Macaca fascicularis: one gene and its partner. The protein of the gene in region 1 binds, or shares a complex with, the protein of each later gene. Links are inferred from orthologs where the notes say so. Each region holds a gene or a part of one and is shown on either strand. Other genes may lie near its edges.

What was found. The genes of interacting proteins can lie anywhere in the genome.
Region 2: the proteins of RIMS2 (region 1) and UNC13A are in contact, whole or in part, in a crystal structure (PDB 2CJS), measured with the Rattus norvegicus proteins. The link is inferred for Macaca fascicularis from reciprocal best matches to the Homo sapiens genes RIMS2 and UNC13A. Residues at the interface, in XP_063118965.1 of Rattus norvegicus: Asp102, Gly103, Cys104, Ser109, Gln112, Val123, Leu125, Ser127, Asn128, Lys129, Val134, Met135, Trp136; in NP_074052.2 of Rattus norvegicus: Tyr23, Ile36, Trp65, Leu69, Ile70, Trp71, Asp72, Thr73, Met74.

The regions. Positions count from the first base shown.
Region 1 is NC_088382.1:113,490,542-113,498,131, forward strand, and holds part of RIMS2 (regulating synaptic membrane exocytosis protein 2), read left to right. Parts: intron 1-4,427; coding exon 4,428-5,353; intron 5,354-7,590. UniProt on the Homo sapiens protein: Rab effector involved in exocytosis. May act as scaffold protein. Plays a role in dendrite formation by melanocytes.
Region 2 is NC_088393.1:18,017,529-18,025,218, reverse strand, and holds the start of UNC13A (protein unc-13 homolog A), read left to right. Parts: upstream 1-2,348; 5' UTR 2,349-2,509; coding exon 2,510-2,531; intron 2,532-7,690. UniProt on the Homo sapiens protein: Plays a role in vesicle maturation during exocytosis as a target of the diacylglycerol second messenger pathway.

The DNA.
Region 1 (7,590 bases):
TACAGGATCATATACTTCTGTTAAATCCTTGATTTAATGTGTTTTAACAGCTTAAAATTTTAGAATTTTGTTGCAATGTTACATTTAAACTGTATGGTTAGTTAGCATTGTGTAATTGTATTCATGAAGTATTATATTAGTTTATTTAGCAATATCCGTGCTTTATAAAGATTTTTAAAAACAAGTAGGTATTTTTTTCAGGTTATTGATTTTTCAAGTGTGATTTACATCTTTTTATTTATAAAGTAACAATTTTTTAATGATCTCTACTATTAATGCTTATGAGTCACAAAAATTTTCATATAGGTAGTACTTAATTTAATGTAAAATTTGAATTTACAAAAATTAGTAATCTTCAAATTCTGCACTGTATTTCCAGTGTTATAATTTTTAAAAATTGCATATTTCTTCAGTTGAGTTAAAATATGTAAATATTACAATGTAGGTTTCCATGTAATTTTTCAACGTTTATAAATGTTTTCAAATGTTCATCAGACTATATTTTCAGAGATTTGATTATTATTTTATCAATATGGTCAGTATTATAGGTGGTATTAGTAACACAAATCACTTAAGATGGTAAAGCCTGTAAATGTTAAAATGGAAGTTATGGTAAAAACATGATGAATTAATTTATGGCATATAAACCCTGGATGCCTTTGGGAAATCTGGAAGTGATTTTAATTGGGAAAGAAGCTTCATTGGAGTTTTCCCATCAGTCAGTATGCTTTTTGGACATGGAATTTAAGGAGTCTAATTGGTAGGATTTCCTATGCATACTATTTTGCATAGTTAGAATAACATTTATAATGGAGCATCAGATGTGTTATACAAGCTAGAATATTTAGAAATAGATTGAATAGTCCACATGACAAACAACTGTAAGCAAGGAGTAGAAATGATACTTATTACAGTAGATTTAGGATGTTTAAAATGTGGTTTTCTATAAACTGTTTCTAATTAAGGAGAGAATACTATGGTGAAAGAGAAAACAATTCTAACAATGCAGGTGGCAGTAAAGAGAAGTGAATCGATATTAGATAAATATAAAGTGAATATAAATATATACTGATATTGTTATAACAGAAATAGGGATTGATAGAATGCATAGGATTAAAGATTAAGGCACTATATGATGCCACAAACACATTTTATACTAAAGAAAGGCATAATTTTGGATTCTGCCTCTTAATTTCTCAGGGTCTTTGAAGGATTAAGTGAAATGTAAAATCCTAGATGAATCGTTCCTTTTCCTTTGTATTATAATAGATGAATTAAATACTGCTAAATGCCTTATGGTTCTTTAGAGAAATGTATAAATTATCAATGATATTGTTTTATCTATTAAATGTTTTCCACCTGATGATGATAAATGCTAAGTCTTGTTTATAAAGGCTGGTAGCAAAGATATAGACTAGAAACACATTACTTGAATTTACATTGATTTTATTTAGTTCCTGAAAGGAATATAGTATCATGAAATATAGAAGTTTAAAATTTAAAGGACAGTATATATGAAGTAATTCATAATATAGTTGGTAAAAATTATTTGATAGAATATTTATCATTTAGAAATAATTGATTGCAGGTTCTTCATTGTTTGATACATATATTGTTAGAATGAAATCGTGCCTTGTTTCTCGCATAGTGTTAATATACTGTAAAGTACTATACCTTAAAGTGTATTTTTGAAAACCTAAGTCTTTGTAACAGTGACAATAGTCATCCCAATTTCCGATTATAACCACTGTTCTATTTTTTATAGTGGTTATAATCTTAAATCCAGTACAAATCGACATCTACAGTATGATTCACATATTTCTGGCAAATTTCATAATCTCTAGAACAATGTGATTGCTAGATTTAACAATGAATTCAATTTTCCTAAGGTATGATTTTTAAAAAGTACCTAGATGGCTTGCTAGGAACTAATTATTAATAACCTTTCTCTTGGAACTGAAGTCCTTAATAGGAAATAAATATTTATCAGTAAGATAAAATATACTGTATTCACTTTATACTCTACTTTCAAAAATTCATGTTAATTCTTTAAGATAGGAATGAAGTGTTCCTTTTTTTTCGTACTTCTATACTCAGTTTGCATTAAATATATTATGGGAAATCCTTAATGCATTAAGCTTTCATGTAGGCTTATTAACTTGATGAATTTGTGGTATCAATAAAATCATACTACCTATGAAATGGAAGATGGTTTCAGAATCATTCACCCTCTTAAGAACAAGGAATGTGTCTTAATCATTTCTGTATTCCTAATTTATATGATAGTGTGTGGCATTTATTTCTTACCTAATATATGTTTGTTAAAGTAATATATGAGTTAACATGTAAAATCTATGTCTCTCAATTTAAAGCACAAACTCCTAAGGATTTAATGGTTATATAGTTTGAAATAACTGGCTAATTGCAAAAGTATGACTAAGAACTGTAGATTCCTTAAATCTGGTGTTCTTTTCATGATAGACTACTATCATGCCAGAGTATTTTTTTTTTTAGTCAAATGTATAAAAGTAATGACAAAAGTAAAATGAATGATGCACAGTGTACACACACATATACACACAAACATAGGGTGTTACTATAAATTTTTTTTAATGTTTTGTTTTGATTGTAAATTTTAAACTGTAGGAATCTATGGTTTTATGTAACAATTGTAATCTAAAAGATTTGTAATTAAGTCCTAAATGTTTTATATATAAATGTAAATGCTAAAAAATGTCATATCCACTTTCTTAATTATGAAACATTTAAGGGATAGACTAATTTTTTCACTTTCTACAGTAGTTATTCCTTTATAGTTCCAGGTTAGAGTTTATCCTGGCTTTGTACTTACCTAAGATTTGAAAGGTGGAGGATATACAGAAGCCATTATTGTCATGCGCTAGTTGTTGGCTAGCAGATGGGCAGATATAAAAGTCTTAGTGGCTCCTGGGCAAACTCCTGTTAATTGGCCACCCTGATGCTTTAGGTGGTTGAAATAATTGCTGGCAGATGTCCATAGACTCTTGGCATTCATAGCAGCTTTCTAATGTCCATTTTGAGAACCCTTGTCTCTGCATCTTCAGGCTAAGATCATCAGCATTAACTTTCCTGGCTTTCATTCCTGTAGCCCATTCAACCATTGTGTAGCTTCTGGTTCCTGAATTAAAACCCTTCCTACCTGGAAAACCTAGAATAACTTCTGTTTTTGTTAGTGAACCTAATTGATAGATTGGCAGACTGTATTCCAAATATGAGGGAAAAAGATTCTGTGACCCAGGGGAGATATTAGAGAAGAGTGCTGATTTTTCCAGGTTGGGTCATTCTACTCTGTCCTTTCTCTGTTCTTGCTTTTGGACTAATAAACCATTGACTAAGAAATTCCCAACTGGACTGTTGAATCTTAGTCATCTTTAACTTCAACTGACTTCACTCTTTCATTATCTGCTGTTCATGTCCTGGCAAAATCCCCATAATAGTTTTCTAAACCTTTTCTGTTATCTTCAGGATTCTAATCCTATTGCTTTTCATGACTAATAGTTGATATTATCTGAGTTTATTCCAGAGAAAAGGTTGGTGTGAATATTTTGTTAACAGGGTATTATGTGTGATTGCAAGGTTCACTAGGTTTTACCAGTGTTAGAAGGGTAAGTTGAGAACGTAATAGGCAGTTTCTTCTTCTGAGACTATAAGGAAATATGAGGGGTCAGATGTAGAGACTTAGTAGAATAATATCACCAAGCTGGCCTTAATCTAAATGAAGATGGAATAAAAATAGCAGTTTTTCTGATTTCTAGGATTTTTGTAATGAGTGGATCATTATTATTTATCTATTTAAATTGCTTATCTCAAGTTAGATCGATTAAAAAATGTTGGAGACATGATGATAAAATGAAAATTTAGGTGAACCAATACTAGGAATGAACTAGACAGATGATGAATGAAAACGATTTTTAAGAGCCAGCACTTAGTTTTAGTCAGAAAGTATTCAACTCTTGAGCCAAATCAGTTTGGCTTCATTACATTTTCAGGTAACTTTCATAATATGTTAGGTATAGAGCAGATGGAAGAAAATATTTTTCTAAGCTGCTGAATAATAGTTGGTGGATACTGGAAGTGTATGTAGCAAGCCAAGCAAGGAAATTAGAATAAAGGCTATTTTATAGCAGTGGAATAGCATATTACCTAATTTTGGAGCATAAGCATATTCCAGATATAGTGTTGCAGGCACTTAATAACCACAACAAAGTACTTATTTGAACTTAATATAATGAATACTACTAAAACCATTGTTTTGGTATGCCTTTAAAATGAAATTTTAAAAAGGCAAAAGGACTACTTAGTTATCCATCAACCTGCCAGCAAATCAATGAAATGTAAAATTGATAAATTTTTGCTCTTCTCATTGTTCTTTTCCTTTGGTTACTTAGGAAAAGAAGCCCATCTGTGTCCAGAGATCAGAATAGAAGATACGACCAAAGGGAAGAAAGAGAGGAATATTCACAGTATGCTACTTCGGATAGCGCAATGCCTAGATCTCCATCAGATTATGCTGATAGGCGATCTCAACATGAACCTCAGTTTTATGAAGACTCTGATCATTTAAGTTATAGGGACTCCAACAGGAGAAGTCATAGGCATTCCAAAGAATATATTGTAGATGATGAGGATGTGGAAAGTAGAGATGAATACGAAAGACAAAGGAGAGAGGAAGAGTACCAGTCACGCTACCGAAGTGATCCAAATTTGGCCCGTTATCCAGTAAAGCCACAACCCTATGAAGAACAAATGCGGATCCATGCTGAAGTGTCCCGGGCACGGCATGAGAGAAGGCATAGTGATGTTTCTTTGGCAAATGCTGACCTGGAAGATTCCAGGATTTCTATGCTAAGGATGGACCGACCATCAAGGCAAAGATCTATATCTGAACGTAGAGCTGCCATGGAAAATCAGCGATCTTATTCAATGGAAAGAACTCGAGAGGCTCAGGGACCAAGTTCTTATGCACAAAGGACCACAAACCATAGTCCTCCTACCCCTAGGAGGAGTCCGCTACCCATAGATAGACCAGACTTGAGGCGTACTGACTCACTACGGAAACAGCACCACTTAGATCCTAGCTCTGCTGTAAGAAAAACGAAACGGGAAAAAATGGAAACAATGTTAAGGAATGATTCTCTCAGTTCAGACCAGTCAGAGTCAGTGAGACCTCCCCCACCAAAGCCTCATAAATCGAAGAAAGGAGGTAAAATGCGCCAGGTTTCGTTGAGCAGTTCAGAGGAGGAATTGGCTTCCACGCCCGAATATACAAGTTGTGATGATGTTGAGATTGAAAGTGAGAGTGTAAGTGAAAAAGGTAAGCTTTCTAATTACACATTTTGCTGTAATTGATTAGATAAGCTTTTTTTTATAGGTTGTATTTCTGAGTGAAAATGTAATAGGTATTACTAGCTTTATTTTAAAAGTCTTTTGATGGTATCGAACGTGTGAAGAAAACTTCATGTTATAAAAAGTATCTTCTGTTGTTCAGGTATAAGAACAACAGAATGATGTTCTATTGATTTTTAAAAATTGCTTTCTTGCTTTGTTTCTGAAAGTTTTCTTGTATCACTTGGCAGCATATTTCAAAAATATCCATTAACTGTAGTTTTAAAAATAACATTAATTTTTTGTCTCCTTATAAAAGTAACAATATGTTCACTATAAAACATCTGAAAAAGTCTTCAAAGCATAAAGAATGAAATGCAAGTTATCCGTATTTCTTTCCCCCGATATAACCATTGTTAACCTTTTATTGTATTTTCCTTCTTTTTTTTTTCCTATGAATGTATGGTTTATAGATTTATAAAATTGGTATCTTGCTATGTATAATTTTGTATACTGATGCTTTCAATTGTTATCACATCATAAGTGGTTTTTCCCCAAACCATTAGATGTTCTTTAGTAATACATTTTAAATAGCTACACTAACATTCTATCATAAGATTATACCACAAACTAAATATTTCTTTATTTGGGGCATTGCCGTGGCTTCCATTTGCCAATGTAAATTATAATGGTTATCTTTATACATACTTTTTGCCTACATCTCTTGAGTATTTCAAAAATATATATTCGTACTTTGGATTATTTTAAGCTTTAATTCAGATTACCAAATTGCTTTCCAAAAAGGTTGTAACATGCTTTACTCTTGTCAGATGTACTTAAGTTTTCAGTCTCAATTCACCAAATCTTTGCCAATTGAATAGCCACAAAAATGCTCTCTTTGTCATTTTAATTTGAATTTGATTGTAAAGTTGAATGTTTTATACGTTTATCTGCATTTGATATCTTCTGTGAATTATCTGTTCATTCCTTTAATTCTTTCTGCCCTTCTTTCTCTGGGTATTAGTTTTTCTCTTATTGATTTAAAAGCGCTTTTTATATAGTTAGGATTTCACCCCATTTAACTGTTATTTGCCAAATACATTTCTCATTTTAATGTTTACCTAGTATTTTACTTTGTTTATTTGAAACTATTGAATTTAATGTAGCTAAACCTTTGTATTTGGTGATTTTTTTCCATTATTTTCATCTTTAAAAGCTCTTTATTCACTTCCAAATCAATTAAGTATTTAACTGTATATTATGTCATTTTTAAATTATTTTTTAACCATTAACTTTTTAAACATTCTGGAATTTATTTTGGAATATGAGAAAAATATCCCAGATTGATGAGTATCATACCGACCTCCTACTCCCAATTTCCTTATACCATTTGATGAATAGTCAATTTTTTCTTTATAGAATCAACAGGAATCACAAGGGATATTCAAGAACAGAGCTAGGTATGAAATGATTATGGAATCATTTTATACTGTACCAAAATAATTAGCTAGAACACATAAATTGAGAGTTTCCATTCTGAATTAAAAATAAAAACTGTGATATAAAAATAACTAACAAGAAATGAGGGGCCTACAGGAAGAGCCGTAAAATTTTACTGAGTAGCATAAGGAAGATGTGAGTAGCGGTTCCTAATTAGGAAGGCTAAGTAGTATAAAGATGCAAGCTCTTTGCAGATAATCTCTTGGAGTTAATAACATTCTAGATATAATACCAATTGGACCCTTGAAGTATTTTATTTCTAAAGTTAATCTGGAAGAAATAACACTTGTAAGAATAGTTAAGAGTAGTGAGGGAGAACTCACTTGACCAGATAGTATAAAATGACAATAATTGAAAATGTGGTACTGATAGATAATTTGGGCATATCAGTGAAATTTTAATATATTAAAACTAATAAATGATAAAATATAAAATGCACAACAATCCAAGAGGGAAGAGATAAACTATTCAACAAATAGGATTAGGGAAATGCATATGCAGTTTTAAAAAATCAAGTTAGGGGTATTTCATATTTGTTGCATTCAAATGATAAATACTAAGAAAAACTTGCTTATTAAAATATAATTATCTATAAAGAGCAACTGTCAATCTTAATTAATTTTTTGTGGAGTATATACAAATTTTATTTTCCCTAAGCTGTAGTACTTCCTTAAGTATATTTAATCATCTTTAGTTTGGTCATTTTTCACATTTGCCAGAGTATAT
Region 2 (7,690 bases), on another chromosome or scaffold:
GGGAGGCCAAGGTGGGTGCATCACTTGAGGTCAGGAGTTCAAGACCAGCCTGGCCAGCATGGTGAAACCCTGTCTCTACAAAAAACACACAAAAATTAGCCAGATGTGGTGGTGAGTGCCTGTAATCCCAGCTACTCAGGAGGCAGAGGCAGGAGGATCACTTGGAAGTGGAGGTTGCAGTGAGCTGAGATGGTGCCACTGCACTCCAGCCTGGGCTACAGGTTGAGATTCTGTCTCAAAAACAAAAAACAAAACAAAACAAAAAACTGGTTTTCACATGTTTTGTTTGTTTGTTTGAGATGGAGTCTTGCTCTGTTGCCCAGGCTGGAGTGCATTGGCGCCATCTCCGCTCACTGCAAGTTCTGCCTCCCAGGTTCATGCCATTCTCCTGCCTCAGCCTCCCGAGTAGCTGGGACTACAGGCGCCTGCCACCATGCCTGGCTAATTTTTTTTTTTTTTTTTTTTTTTGTATTTTTTAGTGGAGATGAGGTTTCACCATGTTAGCCAGAATGGTCTCAATCTCCTGACCTCATGATCTGCCTGCCTTGGCCTCCCAAAATGCTGGGATTACAGGCGTGAGCCACTGCTGCCGGCCTACAACTGGTTTCATATGTTTTTTTTTTTTTTTTGAGACGGAGTCTCGCTCTGCCACCCAGGCTGGAGTGCAGTGGCCGGATCTCAGCTCACTGCAAGCTCCGCCTCCCGGGTTCACGCCATTCTCCTGCCTCAGCCTCCGGAGTAGCTGGGACTACAGGCGCCCGCCACCGCGCCCGGCTAGTTTTTTGTATTTTTTAGTAGAGACGGGGTTTCACCGTGTTAGCCAGGATGGTCTCGATCTCCTGACCTCGTGATCCGCCCATCTCGGCCTCCCACAGTGCTGGGATTACAGGCTTGAGCCACCGCGCCCGGCCTGGTTTCATATGTTAACTCATGTAATACCTCCAGCAACCTTGTGAGGCAGGACTTGTTATCATACTCATTCTACAGGTGGGGAAACTGAGGCACAAAGAGGTCACATGACCTGCCCAAGGCCATGCTGGTGATGAGAGGCAGAGTTGGGTTTTGAACAATGGCCTCACTCAACTCCATGCACATTCTGCATTTATGAAGCTCTTTCATGTGGGCTGGGGGCAGGAGGCCCTGTGGGGCTCAGCCTTTCTTACTATTTTAGGTGCCAGTGATACAGCGAGCAGGTTGCAGGGCAAGGGGCCCACATGGAACTGCCCAGTTAGGTATGTGGGGAGGGGGCCAGGCACGGTGGCTTAGACCTGTAATCCTAGCACTTTGGGAGGCTGAGGTGGGCGGATCACCTGAGGTCAAGGGTTCAAGACCAGGTTGGCCAACATGGGGAAACCTCGTCTCTACTAAAAATACAAAAAAAAAAAAAAAAAAAAAAAAAAAAAAAGCTGGGCATGGTGGCACGCTCCTGTAGTCCCAGCTACTCGGGGAGGCTGAGGCAGGAGAATCGCTTGATCCCAGGAGGCAGAAGTTGCAGTGAGCCAAGATGTGCCACTCCAGCCTGGGCTACAGAGGGAGACTCCAACTAAAAAAAAAAAAAAAAGAGGGGAGGAATGGCAGAGTTTCACTGGGGTCAGGGCCCAATCAGAGGAAGGGATAGGGGCTGGGGGACTCCAGAGAGGAGAAACAAAGGCTCAGCTTGGGGCAGTCAGGGAAGGCTTCCTGGAGGAGAGGATATTCAGACAAGACATTGATGGATGAATAGGAGTTTTCCAGTTACACAGTGGCATGAAGGGTGGGATCCAGTCAGAGTGTGGGTAAGGACCCATGGGCTGGGTGGCTTAGAGACACAGAGAGAGACCTAGACAGGATGCAGTAGACCTGCAAAAAGACTGTGCAGAGAGAGGCTAAGAGACACATGACTGAGAGAGAGCAGTGGACAGAGTCAGAGGAACAGAGACCCAGGGAGAGAAAGAGACCAGTCAGCAGAGTCAGAGACACCGAGAGGTAGAGACAGAGGAAGAGAGATACTCAGGAACAGGACGATCTGCTTCGTGCTGGTGCCGGGTGTACACACAAGAGCTTGCGTTTGCCTGTACTTGCTTGAGTATTGCAGGGAGGAGTTTGCCTAGGTTACCAGGGCAGGAATGTCCATGCATAGGTCGGGGGGACACGTGCACCATTTCAGTGCAGGTGGGGGTCTGCACGGGAGGAAACCTGCTTGGGGGCCGCCCTCGCCCCTTGTCCCACCTGCAACGAGGAGGTTTGGGGCGGGGCGCCCCTTTCCGGAGCCAGGCCCTTTAACGCCCCCCCAGCCCGCAGCGCCCCCGCCCCATCAGGCGTCCCTGGGCTCCGCCTGCCCGCCCCGCATCGGCGCCACGTCAGGCGCTGTCCGCGCCCCCGGTGCTGAACCAAGATGGCCGGTGGCGGCCGGGCCCCGGCGTGAGCCAAGCGCGGGCTGCAGCCGGGAGATGCCCCAGCCCAGCGGCCGCTGAGCCCGACCCGACAGAGCCGGCCCGGCCGCCTCCGGTCCGCCTGCGAGCCCGGAGACATGTCTCTGCTGTGCGTTGGAGGTAGGAGGCGAGGCTGGGGGTCGGGGTACCCGTTTGGACGCGGGCTGGGCTCGGGGTCCGCATGGATGCGGCTCCTAGGGGGATCCTGGGGGGTGGCCCGAGTCCAGGCGGCTGGACTTTTGAGAGGGGTAGCCCTTGTCGACGCAGCAGGGCCCCGGAAGGGATGATCCGTGTAGACACGGCAGGGCTCTCGGGGGTCCTGGTGGCCGCTGCTGGAGGGGTCGTGTGGATGCGGCTGAACGCGGAGGCCCGTGTGGACGTGGACGGGGATCCGGGGTTCTACCTGGAAACGATTTAGACTGGGGCGTCTGTGTAGACCGGGTTTTTAGAGGGTCAGTGAGGAAGAGTATGGGCTGGGTGGTTTGATTGAAGCCTGCAGGGGTACTTGGAAGGGATCTGGTGTTGTGGGCTGGGTTGCGGGTCCTCATGGACGCGGACCCGGCTGGAAATTCGAAGGAGAGTGCGGCGGGAGGGTTCTCCAAGCCGTGGGGATGTAAGATATGGGTAGAGGGGCTTGGCCATCAGGACATCCACGAGTTCTAGGACTCTCCCAGCCCTGGGTGTAAAGAGGACTGGAGTGGGGGGAGTGTGGAGACAGGAGACCCCTCCCAACGTCCAGAGAGGGCTGTGACTGGGGGTCTGGGGGCGCTTTTCCAGTTAACTCTTTGGTCTCCCGAGTGAGGGGGTTGGAGGAATGGCCAGAAGGTCTTCCCGCTCCCTGCCCCCTCCGGTTCTCCCAAACACGTTTCAGGGCCTTCTTGGCAGGGAGCCTACTTCTTGGAAGAGCAATGTCCCCTGGTCCCCCTCCCGGCCCATCCTCACCTCACCCACTTTGCGCTGGAGAGAGGGAGGGAGGGAGACGTGGGGTGGCGGGGGGAGCTATTTTGGGGCCAGAACGCCATCTGCACAGAGGCCCACGCCCAGGCCCACGCTATGCGTTGGGGTTGGGGGAGGGAGGGAGACGTGGGAGGGGCATGACCCCCTACCCCACACCTTTATGGCTCTGGGGTTGGGGAGAAGCCAGCCCACCCGAACCCAGGCGTTCTGGGCACTCCTGTTTGAGAACTCAAGCTCTGGGAGACCTTGGGCGGCAAGGGTGGAGGTGGACCGCCGTTCAACGCTTACAGAGCTCTGAACCCCTGGTTCTTAAGGACTGGGGTCCCCCCATCACTCCCACCTACTTCAAGAAGGCTGGGGTGGGGGAAGGGGTGTGTCGGCCAAGCCTGAGACGGCAGGCTTCGGGAGACCTGGAGCGACAGGAAGCGTGTGTGTGCTGAACTCCTGCTGCCTGGACCCAGGGTGGGCAGGCCTGGGATCCGGGAACCGCCCCCGCTGCCCCTCCTCCTCCCTCCCCTCCCCCTCGGCCGCTTCATTCACAAACCCTGCCCCGCCCGCCCGCTCCCCGCCGCGGCGGCTTCCGAGTGCAAATCAGGCCGGGATGGGCCGGCGTGGACGCGGGTGTTCTTAAAGGGACAGGGGCCTCCTTTCTCTAAGCTCGTTTCTGCTGGACGGGGCTGGGGGTGGTGGAAGAAGGGTCCCTAGAGTCAAAGGTCAACTCTTTCAGCCCCTAGCCTCCAGGCTTATGGAGTTAAGGGAGTAGGGAAGTGAAGGAGACCCCTAGGTGGCCTCCACCGCCTAGGCCTGAGGACGGAATGGGAGGAGAACTTGAATGTCCAGACCCCCTACTGACCTCTCCCCCTGCCCTAAGTAGCCGGGCTCTTAGAGGCGGCACTGGAGGAGGTTCCGACGTGGGTGTTCCTGGCAGACTCCTCTGTCCTCTCTCTTCTCCCCCCAGCATCCCGCCCCACCCCGCCTCACATCCTTCAAGTTGGGCTTCTCTGGAAGGTTTGCCTAGTGGAGTGAGGGGGGTGGGGATCTCACCCTTAACTCTGACGCAAACAGGAGGCTCGGCTGCGGGGGTGGCATTAAGGGGGGGCAGCAGGAGGCAAGAGGGATGAGGCTTCCAGAAACAGAGACGTGGGGGGAGGACTGTGCTGGATTCTGTGGACCTTATAGAGAGGGACACAGCTGAGTGGAGAGGAATTGCTGGGAGGGGCAAGGCTGGGGAAGAGGTTGACGGGGGTGGGAGGTAAGGCCCTGAGGTGTAAAGGGAGGTGTGAGGTTGGAGTGAGGAGGAGTAGGAGGCAGGGAGGGGTGGGGAGAAGAAGAAGTGCTGGGTGAGGCCAGTCTCCCAGGAAGAGGTGGGACGGTGCCCAGAGAGAGGAGGGGCTGGGATGGTTGAGCAGGAGAGATGGGGAGTGTTGGGGTGGGCTTGGCAGGAGTAAAGCTAGGCTGAGATGCGTTGATGTGTTGCCTGAGCTCAGTTGAGGAAATACCTGCCCCGCCTCCCCTCCACCGGGGACCCACAGGCGTTTGCCAATCCCTACACACATTCATACCCAGACTTGTTCCTGTGTGGACACAAACGCTTAGGATGCACGAAGGCTCCACGCAGACCACGTGCCTGGGAAGGCGCATTCCATAGGCACACGTGTGTACTCAAACGCCTGTGTGAACACAAGCATATACATGTATATAGGACACAGTCTGCCACTACAGATATAGTCCTGGCAACACATGTGTGAGTGTGTGTGTGTGTCTGCCAGCACGCATATAGATGTATCCACGTGTGTCTGATGAATGTTCACAATATACATGTCACATAAAGATCCATTCATGTCCAGCTGAGCGCAGTGGCTCAGGCCTGTAATCTCATCACTTTGACTTTGGGAGGCCAAGGTGGGCAGATCACTTGAGGTCAGGAGTTCAAGACCAGCTTGGCCAACATGGTAAAACTCTGTCTCTACTAAAAAAATACAAAAAATTAGCCAGGCTTGGTGGCGTGCTCCTGAGGAAGGAGAATCACTTGAATATGGGAGGTGGAGGCTGCAGTGAGCTGAGATCCTGCCACTGTACTCCAGCCTGGGCAACAGAGTGAGACTCTGTCTCAAAAAAAGAGATTCACTCATGTCCTAACGCTCAGACATGTACCCATAAATATCTGTTAAGGTCCCCAACCCCATGAAGCACACATATATTCATATAAGCATATGTCAAAGCCATGTGTGTACGCACATGACAACACTTGCCTGGACATTCAAACCACCCCCTTTCAACAAGTGGATGATGATGCATACAAGTAAATACACATTTGAGTATTTCATTGCACACAAGTGCATACATGTATGCATATAAACAAATACAGCTGCCACAGAACTGCATCCATGTACACGTGCAAACATCAATATGTGTGTTTTCCACCTATCACCCACAAGCTCACACACACCAGTGTGTCTCTGATGTAGTGACACCCCACTCCCAGACACACATGTGCAGACTCCCACCTGCACTGAAATGGTGCACATACCCTGCACACATGCACGCTCATATCCATGTACAGGCAGGCGCCTGCCTGCTCTGGTAAGATAAGCCAACTACTGCTGCAAATATCCAAGCAAGTATAGGCAAATGCAAGCTCTTGTGTATACACCCAGCACCAACACATAGCAGACCACCCTGTATGATTCATGGGCCTTATTTTTGCCCCCTTCATTTACTTATCCACGTGGAGTCCCGCTGCTCCCCAACATTTTAATCCACTCGCGAGGTCCTGGCAGGATCCTGAGGCTGTGAATGGCAAATGCTACCTGGTTCCTTCGTGGAGTCACTCATTTTATTTATGCAACAAGCATTAATTGAGCATCAACTGTATACCAGCCACTGTTCCTGGCTCTGGGGACCCAACCCTATTCCTATTCACCACCCATGCACCTCCCATGGAGTTAGAATGAAAGAGGTGAGGGAGGGCTAAGGGAGCTGAGGAGTGGGGTATCCAGGGCTCTCTTCCTCTGGGAAGCCTGCCCTGATTGCACCACCACCACCATTTATTTGAGTCTCAGAAGATGTGATGAGGGAGAGATTAGCAGGAGGGAGATGATGCTCTGGGTGGAGGGAACAGCATGAGCAAAACCATGGTGGTGTGAAAGGTCAGTTCCAGATCTTCCTATGTGCTTCACAGCATTTTGCACAGACCACTTGATGTTTTGTTTTGTTTTGAGACAGAGTCTCACTCAAAACTTGTTACTCAGGCTGCAGTGCAGTGGCACGATCTCAGCTTGCTGCAGCCTTGACCTCCAGGGCTCAAGCGATCCTCCCGCCTCAGCCTCCCAAGTAGCTGGGACTACAGGCATGCACCACCACACCCGGCTAACTTTTATTTTTATTTTTTTATTTTTTGCAGAAACAGGGTTTTGCCCTGTTGCCCAGGCTGGTCTTGAACTCCTGGGCTCAAGTGATTCGCCCTCCTCAGCTTCCCAAAGTGCTAGGATTACAGGTGTGAGCCACCACACCAACTGATGTTTTAAAGGCTCTATAAACATTTTATGAATAAATGACATGAACAAATCAGTGAATTTAGGTGAGGGCAGGTTTGCTTCACAACTTACAATAATATCAACAACAAACTCCATTTATCCAGCTTTTGTTTGTTTGTTTGTTTTGTTTTTTAGAGACACAGTCTCACTGTGTCACCCAGGCTGGAATGCAGTGGTGTGATTTCGGCTCACTGAAACCTCCACCTTCTGGGTTCAAGCGATTCTCCTGCCTCAGCCTCCCAAGTAGCTGGGATTACAGGCATGTGCCACCACGCCCAGCTAATTTTTGTATTTTTAGTAGAGATGGGGTTTCTCATTTCTACTAAAAATACAAATACATCTCTAGTGGCCAAGCTAGTCTCGAACTCCTGACTTCAAGTGATCCTCCTGCCTTGGCCTCCCAGTGTGCTGGGATTACAGGCTCGAGCCACTGTGCCTGGCCCAGCATTTCATAGGCACAATGTTGAGGATTTTTATGCCCATGCCCTCTTTAACTCTCACAGTAGCCCTATTGTACAGATGAGGAAAACTGAGACTCAGGGAGCTTTAACAACTTGCCTGGTGTAACAAAGCCAGAGGTGGAGCTGACTGACTCCAGAGCCTACTGGGGTTGGCAGAAGAAGGTTGAGCCTTCTGTCAGCCCCCAGGACCTGGGAGACAGCCAAGTCCCTTCTGTGGGGTGAGGATCTGCCCTGGGATAGCCTTCTTCTATTTATTTATTTATTTATTTATTTAAGAGAGAGTCTGGCTCTGATGCCCAAGCTGGAGTGCAGTGGCACAATTTCA